3 linked regions of the Coturnix japonica genome follow. The main gene of each other region encodes a partner of the protein of the gene in region 2 in a complex. Links are inferred from orthologs where the notes say so. Each region holds a gene or a part of one and is shown on either strand. Other genes may lie near its edges.

Evidence for each region.
Region 1: ARID1A (region 2) and SMARCD1 share a complex: the UniProt entries of both Homo sapiens proteins name them as parts of the neuron-specific chromatin remodeling complex. The link is inferred for Coturnix japonica from reciprocal best matches to the Homo sapiens genes ARID1A and SMARCD1.
Region 3: ARID1A (region 2) and SMARCB1 share a complex: the UniProt entries of both Homo sapiens proteins name them as parts of the neuron-specific chromatin remodeling complex. The link is inferred for Coturnix japonica from reciprocal best matches to the Homo sapiens genes ARID1A and SMARCB1.

What each region holds. Positions count from the first base shown.
Region 1 is NC_029544.1:348,110-351,931, reverse strand, and holds the start of SMARCD1 (SWI/SNF-related matrix-associated actin-dependent regulator of chromatin subfamily D member 1), read left to right. Parts: upstream 1-1,142; 5' UTR 1,143-1,178; coding exon 1,179-1,346; intron 1,347-1,466; coding exon 1,467-1,654; intron 1,655-2,824; coding exon 2,825-2,867; intron 2,868-2,964; coding exon 2,965-3,087; intron 3,088-3,356; coding exon 3,357-3,485; intron 3,486-3,822. UniProt on the Homo sapiens protein: Involved in transcriptional activation and repression of select genes by chromatin remodeling (alteration of DNA-nucleosome topology).
Region 2 is NC_029538.1:59,994-63,715, reverse strand, and holds part of ARID1A (AT-rich interactive domain-containing protein 1A), read left to right. Parts: coding exon 1-75; intron 76-820; coding exon 821-988; intron 989-1,608; coding exon 1,609-1,924; intron 1,925-3,163; coding exon 3,164-3,309; intron 3,310-3,394; coding exon 3,395-3,504; intron 3,505-3,722. UniProt on the Homo sapiens protein: Involved in transcriptional activation and repression of select genes by chromatin remodeling (alteration of DNA-nucleosome topology).
Region 3 is NC_029530.1:7,048,783-7,052,382, forward strand, and holds the start of SMARCB1 (SWI/SNF-related matrix-associated actin-dependent regulator of chromatin subfamily B member 1), read left to right. Parts: upstream 1-1,280; 5' UTR 1,281-1,387; coding exon 1,388-1,480; intron 1,481-2,686; coding exon 2,687-2,798; intron 2,799-3,295; coding exon 3,296-3,325; intron 3,326-3,600. Other genes in the region: MMP11 (stromelysin-3), read left to right, coding at 122-379, 595-728.

The sequences.
Region 1 (3,822 bases), on a different chromosome or scaffold from region 2:
GCTCCCCAGTTCCAGGCAGACAGGGAACTGCTGCTGGAGAGAGACCATTTCTCAGCTCAGCCCTTCCTTATTTCTATATCCCTCCCAGCCACTTCCTAACTCTGTCCAAAGGCTCCTGCCGGGCTTTAAGCCTCACTTGAAGTTGCTGCATCTGAACAATACGGAGCAGATAAGTTCCACCGCTTCTCCTCACCATGAATATTTCATCAGGCAGCCAGGCGCCAAGGCTGTGTTGGAGGTGGCATTACATTAACTGCACGGACACACGGATGCTGAGACAACAGCTAATGGCTGTGCTCACGGCATCGTGTTTTCTATCGAGGTCAAGAAACACTGAATTTGGTGGAAAAGATGCCAACAACTCCCCACTTTTCTCCTCAGTCAACAATGCCATGCACTGTACAGGACAGCTTCCTAAATGGCCTGTGATTATCATTAATTGCTTAATTAATACTTGCGGTGTGGCTGCTCTCTTGGATTTTATTCATGGATTAATGCAGGCTGGATGCAGGTCCCTCTGCTCTATGAGCAACCACACGGATGAGTGCCCTGGGGACAAGGAAAGTAATGCTAATACTTGCAAAAAGCGGCCTTTAATTCAGCGCTGTGCCTTCTACTGAGGGAGGGAGGAATCCTCCTCCAAGCATCCCCAGCCCTAAGCAAAGCAGCCCCAAACACGAGCACAGAGCACCTGTAAGAACAGGGGACCCCCACCCCAACTCAGTCACAGCATCGAGGCTTAATGAGCACCATCCTCCAGCACCTTGCACCCTCAAAACACTTTCCTATGGTCCATGCATGTCCCCAGGACGCAGCCCCTTCCCACACATCCCCCCCTGCAAATACCCCATCCCATCCATGGTCTCTGAAACCCCCAAACCCAACACCATCCCATAGCCCTCTCCAAGTCCTCTACCCCCACCCACAGCCCTCCCCACGCTCTACACCCCCCACCCCCACCCCAGAACCTTGCCATACTCCCCCAGGCCCCTATTCCCCCACAGTAGTGAACCTTAAACCCACCCACGACCCCCTCCCCACCCACTACTTCCCACCCCCCGCAGTTCCTCCCGCCGGCAGGGGGCGCTCTCTGCAGCCGTTGCCGCTCTAGGCCGCTGTCCGCGCTCTCTCTATGTCAGAGCTCCGGTTCCGGCCCGCTCCTCTTTGTGCTGGACAAGATGGCGGCGCGGGCGGGCTTCCAGTCAGTGACTCCCAGCGGTGGAGGCGGCGGGGCCGCTACCGGGACCGGAGCGCTGGGTCCGGGCACACCAGGCGGACCGGTGCGCATGGGCCCAGCCCCGGGACAGGGCTTGTACCGCTCACCTCTACCAGGGGCCGCCTACCCGGTGAGGCAGGGGAGGGGCCGCTGCGGGGCGGGGCGGGAGGGAGTGGGGGCGGCGGGGCCGAGGACGGGGCCGGCTTCCCCCCGGGTGGGCATTGGAACGGCTTTTTTCTTCCCCTTGCAGCGCCCTGGGATGTTACCGGGCAGCCGTTTGGCACCGCAAGGCCCCTCTATGGGGCCGCCCGGGTACGGTGGGAGCCCGGCAGTGAGGCCCGGTATGGCGCAGGCCGGCCTGGATCAGGCCCGTAAGAGACCAGCGCCGCAGCAACTGCAGCAGGTTCAGCCTCAGGCGGTGCCCAACCGCAACCACAAGTAAGAACCGGGGGTGCTGGGGGGCTCAGGGAATAGACGGTGCGGGGGGGGGGGGGGGGGATCAGGGCATCCTTGGCCATCCTTAGAGCTGTGAGTGGGGGGAGGAGCTCGGGTCATTCATAGGATAACTATGGGGTAGAAAGGCTCTGGGGACATCGTTGGGTGTCCTCTTGGCAACAGGGGGGTTCTCAGGGCAATGGGTGTCCAAAGGATGCTGCCAGGGCAGTGGGAGGCTTAGGATATCCTTGGGTATCCTTGAAATAGGAAGGGTTCCTGGAGCAGATGAGGGTCCCAGATCTTCCCTGTGCTCCTCCAGGGCAGGGGAGGGAACAGTGAAGGTCTCAAAATGTCCCTTGGGCATCCTCAGAGCAGCAGGGGTCCTGAGGACATCCCTGGGATGGCAGATGAGTCTTGGGCATATCCTTGGGCATTCCTATGGCAACAGGGTTCCTCAGGACACCCCGAGGGCAAAGAGGAGTCTCAGGGCATCCTTGGGTCCAAGGGGTCTTCGAGGTATCTCTGTGCATCACCAGAGCATTGAGGGTGCTCAGGGCATCCCCAGGTGGACGTGGACACATTGCTTCTCTCCTCATGAAGCCCCATGGGACGAGATCTGTGTATCAGGGTGAGGGCAGGCATCACTGAGCTGCAGGCTCTCTCTGAAGGGGTCAGCACTGACTTGGTGTCATCTGCTGGCTGCTCAGAGCAGCACAAAGCTTTTCTGTGTGCAGAGCCAGGCCTGGGCCTCTCATTGCTGCTTTTTTTTTGTTGGGTGGCTGAAAGAAACTTTGATGTTCTCGTGCAGCTTCGTCTCTGGTAGAGGGGAATTTCCAGCAGATAAAAAAGTAATGTGCAACTGCTGGACAAGAGCAAGTTAATGTTCAGTTTCTGATAGTACAATGTGATGCCTTGGTAACGTTGGTAATGCATCTCTGAGTCTCCTAGAAAAGTCTGTCTAAAGCACATTGAGCCATAAGGCTTCCTTTCCAATGATGCAGCCTTGCTTTCATTGCTTTCCTTGGGGATGTATTAAGGCGATCAGCTGCTGCAGGGCTGAGAGCATTGCTGATGCCCTGGTCCTAAAACACAAACCTCATCTCGCTCCTTTTGTGAACGTCCAGTGTTAATTAGCAGAATGGTTGCCATTTTAATGCTCTCCTTACTTTACAGTGCTAAAAAGAAGAAGATGGCAGACAAAATTCTACCTCAGAGGGTGAGTGGCATGTGCAGTTGACAGCCTCTGCTGATATGGAGATGTGGGGGAACTGACAGTGATTTGCATTCTTGATTGGCTCGTGTTCTGCTTGTAGATCCGTGAACTTGTGCCTGAGTCTCAAGCTTATATGGACCTGCTGGCCTTTGAAAGGAAATTGGACCAGACGATCATGAGGAAACGCTTGGATATCCAGGAGGCTTTGAAACGACCCATTAAGGTAGGAGAGGGACATTCAGAGACTTACTGTTATCAGAAGAGTAGGAGGGCTTTGAAGGTTGTGTCATAACCCTATAAGCATAGAGAGAACTGTAATGCCCAGGACTTAAGTGGGGGGGTAGAACCAAGACTGCCTCTCTCTGTGCTGTTTGTCCTGAGAGTGGATGTATGAGGAAAAGAAGAATATTTAGCTTAGTTTTAACAAAACATAAGCATGATTCTCATCCCTTTGCTTCTGAATGAATACTGAGCTGATGCTTTTTCTTGTAGCAAAAGCGAAAGCTACGTATTTTTATCTCCAATACCTTCAATCCAGCCAAGTCGGATGCAGAGGATGGTGAAGGAACAGTGGCCTCCTGGGAGCTTCGAGTAGAAGGAAGGCTGCTAGAAGATGTGAGTGTAAGGCACCCAACTGCAGAGCTGATTTGATGGGTCTGGAATTGGAAATTGAACCAGTTTCTTAGTGTCTGGGAGTGTAGCTAAGGGCTTGATATCCTCCTTCATCTCTGTTTTCCAAGGAGTCTGATGGTGACGAGACCGAGAGCCCAACTCGGAGACCGATGGGTATCCCCATGGCAGAACATGAGTTATACAAAGTTCTTATAGCTATAAGAATTAATGGTGAGAGCCGATCAGTAGCACTTGTGTACCCTGGCTCTTAGAACCAGGGCACTCGCATTTTATGTAATTGCTGAGTAAGTTAATTCCTCCAAGCTCATCTTTATCTCCAGTCTTT
Region 2 (3,722 bases):
CGCGACCACCCAGTGGCCAGTCAGACAGTATCATGCATCCTTCCATGAGCCAGTCAAGCATAGCTCAAGATCGAGGTATGTGATTTGGCTTAGAGAAGTTCTAATGGTACAAATCTGTTTGTAGAGCTAGATGCGTAGCTAAAAATTACCTGTCCTGATAATATGAATTCTGTGGTGAGACAGCATCTAAAGGCTGTGCCAGCATTATAACTGCAAGTGTTTTGGCTTCTGGCATCGTATTCAACTGTCACTGGCCCTTTGGTCTCTGAATGTTTGATGCAGGCTCGTTGTTTGGCTTTTCCAGATCTTTTCCACAAATGTTAGTTGCTTAAGTTCTGTGACTGTAAGATTCAAAGTAAGGGGTGGTCATAACAGTACTGGGTGGCATTTCCTCATATGAGAACAGGAGAAAATAAATGTATAATGTCAGTCCGAAAGTATGTAGATGTCACCCAGAGAAAATAAACAAGCAGACAAACTAAAAAACACTCTGAAAATAACAAAAAGTCCCCAAAATTTGCCAGTACCTGTAATGCTAAGTTTTTTTTTTTTTTCCTTGTTTAAAACAGGAAATTGGATATGTTCTTGGTAGCTAGGACTACCAGCAGCAACTGTAAAATGTCCCTTGGCTATTGCTGAAAGAGTTGTTATCTCAGTGGGTAATGCAGGCACCCTACTAGCAATGACTGTAAAATATGCCTCAGTTGGTGCTGGCACAGTTCTGTTAGGGGTTCCTGTGAACAGTTGTTGCTTAAGACACGTGTCCAGTGGCACCTCTGGGTACTTTGCTCACTGTCTGCTCCCTTCCCTGGGTGACCAGGTTACTTGCAGAGGAATCCTCAGATGCCCCAGTACAGCTCTCCCCAGCCCGGCTCAGCCTTATCTCCCCGTCAGTCTTCTGGAGGACAGATGCATGCCGGAATGGGGTCATACCAGCAGAACTCCATGGGAAGCTATGGACCCCAGGCTGGGCAGTACGGACCTCAAGGTGAGGCATGAGAAGCTTCTCAAGGGGGAACCAAGCACAGAGAATGGGAAAGGCCTCTGTTGGTGGCAACACCTTGTCTTTGGAGAATGTGTTTTGAGTGGTGTCCTCTTAATCCATGGGTGATTCAAAACAGTCCACTCCCTATGGGGTGGTTCAGCTTGTGCTTTGAGTACTGTACTGAGATTCATGAAAGATGTTATTTGAGTGCTAGCTGGACTTGCAAATGTAGGATCTCCCCTCTCTTAGAAGGATATAGGCAGCACCTCCAGTGTGCTAGAGAAAAGCCAGTTAACTTCAGAGGGGAAGGAAATTGTGTGCTATGTGTTTTGGAAAGGGTTAAGTGAATTTATTTACATCCTGTCTTGGACCGTTTAGCTCAGTGTGGTTGGCTGAGGTTTGGGGGAGCATCAGTCAGCTTTAGAATCAATGTTGTATCTTAGCTGTGTCAAAACACATGTTTCATGGCTTCTATCCAAGTGCTTTGACTTTTTGTAGAGGTGTTAAGACACCCCCTCATCTCCGTTAGTGATCTTTAAATATTTGCTGATAGAAGATTTGTATGGTGATTCATGAACTAAGTAGTTGAACAATGTTGTCTTCCCCCTGTTTTATCTCTTCAGGAGGTTATCCCAGGCAGCCAAACTACAATGCTCTGTCCAATGCCAACTATCCCAGTCCTGGGATGGGAGGAAGCATGAACCCAATGGCAGCAGGGAGCCAGATGCATGGGCAGACTGGTGTGCCTCCATACAGTGGGCTTCCTCCTGGGAGGATGAGCCACGCAGCCATGGGGAACAGACCTTATGGACCTAACATGGCAAATATGCCTCCTCAGGTGGGGACAGGAATGTGCCCCCCACCAGGGAGCATGAATCGCAAAGCACAAGAAGCAGCTGCTGCTGCCATGCATGCTGCTGCTAACTCCATCCAGAACAGGTGAGGCATGAAAATGCTGTTGGTCTGAACACATTCAATACATTCCCTGTGTTGTCTCTAGGTTTGAAAGCCATGCATGCAGTTACCCAAAGTTGGGGTGATAGAGAACACAAGTAACACATGCTTCCTTAGAGATTTACCTTTTTGAAGTCTTCTTCCTCTATCTTAGCTGCTTCTTTTCTTTTCTTTTTTCTTTTCTTTTTTTTTCAAAGCTTGAATAAGTAGTGTAATTTAATATGTTGTTAATGACCTGCTTAGGGAATTTTTAATGCTGATGGATGAAATCTGTTTAACTTGGTGTTTTCATAGGTTGTTTTGGCTTTCTGGTCTTCTCTGTGGTGTGGGTGATTTTAAAACTGCTGTGTGTGTGGTAAAGCCCATAAATCTAGCATGCAGCATCCATCTATCCAGATGCATTTGTCTGGACCAAGGCATTGCTTTTCCACTGTGTCAAACTTCCTTTTAGGTCTTTGATGGGCGACTATGGGAAATGAGCTGGAATTCAGCGCTGAACTTCACAGCTGTTTCCTGTGTTTTATTTTGCTTTAATTGCGCATTTCAGAGCAGTTGTTACGTGGCCTACCAGAATGCCACGAGAGCCACAAACTTGCTTATAAATTAGGTTCCCCCAGTGAAGCTGTTAGATTTACATGCATTTGTGGTCTGACGTGGCATTGTACTCTTTATCCTGTTTTATCTTACTCGTTATCCTGCTTTAAAGCTTATTTCTGCAATCTTCTGTCTGATACTGCTAAGAGGTCAATCAAGGCATCAAAGTGTATCCTTTCGATTAATGTGTCTGAGGGAAAGTTGTGTGTGGGGTTTTCTGACACATGTGCAGTCATGTACCTTCTGTGAATGTAAAAAAGTAAAGAGAGGAAAGCCATTAAATACGGGGAGTGCTGTGCTGTGCATCTGTAGAAATGCTTAAATGCTGCAGTATTTGTAGATGAGTTCTTTCCTGTGAAGGTGACTTAGGACCTGAAACCAAGTTCAGTTTGGGGATGAAGATAAGAGGTCAGACTGTTGGGTGCTGAAGTCTGTCTTTCCTAATGGGTTGCGTCTCCTTTGCTTTTGAGTTGTGCTTTTGAGTCTTAGGTTTTGCAGTGGGTAAGCTTTCAAAGAGCAACAGACCTTTTGTAGTAGAAGGTTTCTTCTAGTCAGTCTGTTTTGTTAGCAGGTGCAATGTGAATACTTTGTATTTGGAGTAAATGTCTGTTTCTTCCTTGCCTTTTCTAGGCCTCCTGGTTACCCCAGCATGAACCAAGGGGGAATGATGGGCACTGGACCTCCTTATGGACAGGGAATTAACAGCATGGCTGGCATGATCAACCCCCAGGGCCCACCTTATCCCATGGGTGGAAATATGGCTAATAACTCTGCAGGTAAGGCACTGCTGAGTGCTGGGCATTGGGTGACTTAATGGGTCTGGAATGAAAAGCATTGTCATAGATTCTTGTAACTTCCTAGGGATGGCAGCAAGTCCTGAAATGATGGGTCTTGCGGATGTGAAATTAACTCCTGCGACAAAAATGAACAATAAGGCTGATGGGACCCCAAAAGCAGAATCCAAGTCAAAGGTAAAACTTTTTTTAAGCGGTGTGTGTGTGTGTATGTGTATATATATACACACATAAATATATATATATTTAACGACACAGCATATTGTATCTACTCCCAAGAGAAACCCAATGTGAATTGCCATCTACCATGAGCAGACTGGCCATTACTGTGGCTGTTTATGCAGTATGTGATGTTGCTGCTGTGTGAGCATGGTTTTAACTCTGCAGTGTGGCAG
Region 3 (3,600 bases), on a different chromosome or scaffold from region 2:
ATGAACAGCTTTCCCTGGGAGCTCTGCCCAGGCACCAGCTCCAGTCTGCAATTCCATGCCAAGTTATCTGACATCTAAGAACTTCTGAACATGTGTTTCCCCTTTTCCATCTCCTTACCAGATTCTCAGTACTGGATTTATGACGGCGAGAGACGAGTCTCTGGTCCCACACCAACTGTAGAGCTGGGCCTCCCTGCTTCTCCCGTGCAGGCAGCTCTGGTATGGGGGACAGAGAAGAACAAGATTTACATCTTCAGTGGAGGCAACTACTGGCGCTTCAACCCTCGCACACGCCAGGTGGACAACATCTACCCCCGGACCATGGCTGACTGGCGAGGCGTCCCACAGGAGATTGATGCTGCTTTTCAGGATGAGCTGGGTCAGTGCAGCAGGGACAGGCCCTGCTCTGGGGCACGTGCTCAGGGTGATGCTACTTCCCACCAGACCCAGCTGTTACCACTCCCAATAGTGACAAGCCCAGCAGCTCTGCCTGCAGTTCAGCCCAGGCAGCAGTGCTGAACTGCTTTCAGTAGTACCTAGTGCAGACAGCTGAGTGAAGGCTGGCTCACTTACTCCTCCCTCTCTCCTCCACAGGTTTTGCCTATTTCCTGAGAGGCCGAGACTACTGGAAGTTTGACCCGGTGCAGGTGAAGGTTCTGGAAGGTTACCCCCGTCAGATCAGCCAGGACTTCTTCAGCTGCACACCGTCCTCCAACTCCTTCCGATGAAGGAGCATCCCCTACTTTTCCCTTCCAGCCCTGACCTCCAGCAGACACTGAGGGCTCTGCTGCCATCCCTGGCTCCTTCCAGGCGCAGACTGACACAACAGACGTGTCACAACAAGTGACAAAGTTTGCTCCTCTCCCGTTCCAGCAGCAGCCCCAGCTTTGGTCCCTGTACAGAAGCATCTGCCACATTCCTTACAGACACGAGCAGCCTTAATGTGGCCGGGCTGTTGTAGCTCTATCATCCCAAAGCCATCAGGCCTTGGAACGGGACCCCCCCCATAACACCGACCCGCCGCCATCACCCCCCGCGCTGTGAGGCCGCAGCCCCTCAGCCTGCCCCATCCCAGTGCTGGACACTGCCCATCCGCACGGTGCTCCCGGGTACAGAACCAAACCCGTGGGCGTCAACTTTTGTACGACGCGTATCAACTCTTTTTATATCTATATCTATATATACTGTGTATATACGTATCGATGTACCAATAAAGCGCCTCTTTTCTACCCGCCGCCCGACTCACTTCAGCGCCGGGTGGGCGGGAACGAGCGGGCGGGGCGGTGCCCTGCGCATGCGCAGAGCAGCAGCGGAGTAGGCCGAGGCGCTGCCGTTGTCGCTGCGCCCCGGTTCCCTCAGCGCCGCCGGATCCCGCCGGGCCGCAGCGATGATGATGATGGCGCTGAGCAAAACCTTCGGGCAGAAGCCCGTTAAGTTCCAGCTGGAGGAGGACGGAGAATTCTATATGATCGGCTCCGAGGTACGGACAATGGCGGCGGCCCGGGGAGGGGGGGAGGCGGCGAGGCGAGGCTGTGGGGTGGGCAGCGCTGTGTGGGAGCAGAAGGGCTTTGGTGCTGTGATACTGTGGGGATTGTGCTGTTAAAAGGAGCCATAACTGCAGGTTATCTGGCTATATGTGCCACACAGGGTACGTGGAGGAGGAGGGATCGCCTTCCAGCCCCCCGCTATAAAGTTACAATTAAAAATGGTCTGAAAGATGTTAAGGTCAAAATAAGGCCTGTGTGACAGGGAATGTGAGCCCCTTTGTGAACTATACACACTCTACAAGTACAGCAGCAGTTAAAAAACCTGGTCGCAGAGCCTAGAATTCATTGTGTTGTCCAGCGAACCCTGCTGGAGCCTGCACTGCTGTGTTGCATTGTGCTGAGAAGAGCAGAGCTGCTGTGCTGCTGGTCAGCGGGTTTGGAGAGGCACAGATCGCATCCTGCGTGTTCCAAGGGCTTAAAGTAGAGCACAAGGCAGCGCTGTGTGTGTCTGAGCCATCCACTCTTGGAAAGCAGTCCTGACAATAGCAGGACATGGGGAAATGGTTTTAAGTTGAAAGAGGGAAGATTTAGGTTGGATGTTAGGGGGAAGTTCTTCACTAGGAGAGTGGTTAGGCCCTGGAACAGGCTGCCCAGGGAGGTTGTGGATGCCCCGTCCTTGGAGGTGTTCAAGGCCAGGCTGGACGGGGCCCTGGGCAACCTGATCTAGTAAAGGTGTATGTTTGGTGGCCCTGCCAGGCAGGGGGTTGGAACTACATGATCCTTGAGGTCCCTTCCAACCCCGGGTCATTCTGTGATTCTGTGATCCCAGCGGTGTCTGGTGAAAGGGATGCTGCTGGAGAGCTGGGTGTGCAGCTCCATTAAATCCTTCCTGGACACTGTGCTGATGTAGCAAAGTCCCAAAAATAAACAAAAACTGATTTCTGTCAATGAGCTGGAGTTTCTTAGCAAACTAGTGAAATAAGTGCTGATAAGAGCTATGTATTGTGCCAAAAATTGTGCTTTATGATGCCAAACCTGATACAGTGAATTGTGAAAAGCAACAAAAAAAATCCTCTTAGGAGGTTATTTATGAGGTCACTGTTATTGTTTCATTATTGAAAATTTGTTTCAGTTTTTGATAATTCGTTTCTTTAAATGGAATACGTTTCCAGGTCACATCTTTGCTTTTCTTCTTATAGGTGGGGAATTACCTGCGTATGTTCCGGGGCTCTCTGTACAAGAGGTATCCCTCGCTCTGGAGACGATTAGCCACAGTAGAAGAAAGGAAGAAGATAGTGGCATCTTCACATGGTAAGAAGATGAGGAAATGCTCCCAGTCTAAATGTCTGCCTTGAAGAACTGTCTCTGTAGGCTCAGAAGCTTGTGTACCTTTAGGGCTTTGTGACAGCGTTCTGCAAAATGTGGCTGTCCTGGAGTTGGCTGCATTTATCACAATGCAAAAGACACACCTCAAGTTAAATACCATATTCCAGAAGAGATTTCTAGTAGCAAAGAGGGGTGGTTCTGTCCCTTAACACATTGAAAGGATGCTCATGTTCTTTATATGTTTATGACTCCCAGAATTTGCAGTGTGTTTCTACTGATGTTACCACCACAGTGAGAATGCAGCCACCTTGGTATTATTTTTGATGGGAGACTAATATTAAGAACTTATATTCATTAGCAGTGCAACTTGTCATGTGTTCCTCAGGCTAAGGCATAATAAAGATACGTGGTTCATTCTATACTTAAGCCTCCTTCCTCTAATATCCTGCTGACCTGTTGCTGATTTCTTTCTTTCCCAACAGAAAATCAGCGGTCTCACAGTCCAAGAAGATGTAAGTCTGATTTGTGTGTTATGCTTAGCTGTGCTACAGGAATAATCTCTGCCATGACCTTTGGCGTTATTACAGCATATAATAACATCTCATCCTCTGATCTCTCCCTGTGGTCATCCCATTGTGCATCCTCATCACATGCTGAACTTTTCTTTCTCAGAACATTAATGGTCTGTGCAATTCAGTAAGATCTGTCCAGTGGTTCTTCCCTTTTTCCAGGTCTTAAGAGTTTGTACTCCCTGGCTTAGCTTTCATTAGTATCTGATGTGTCTGCT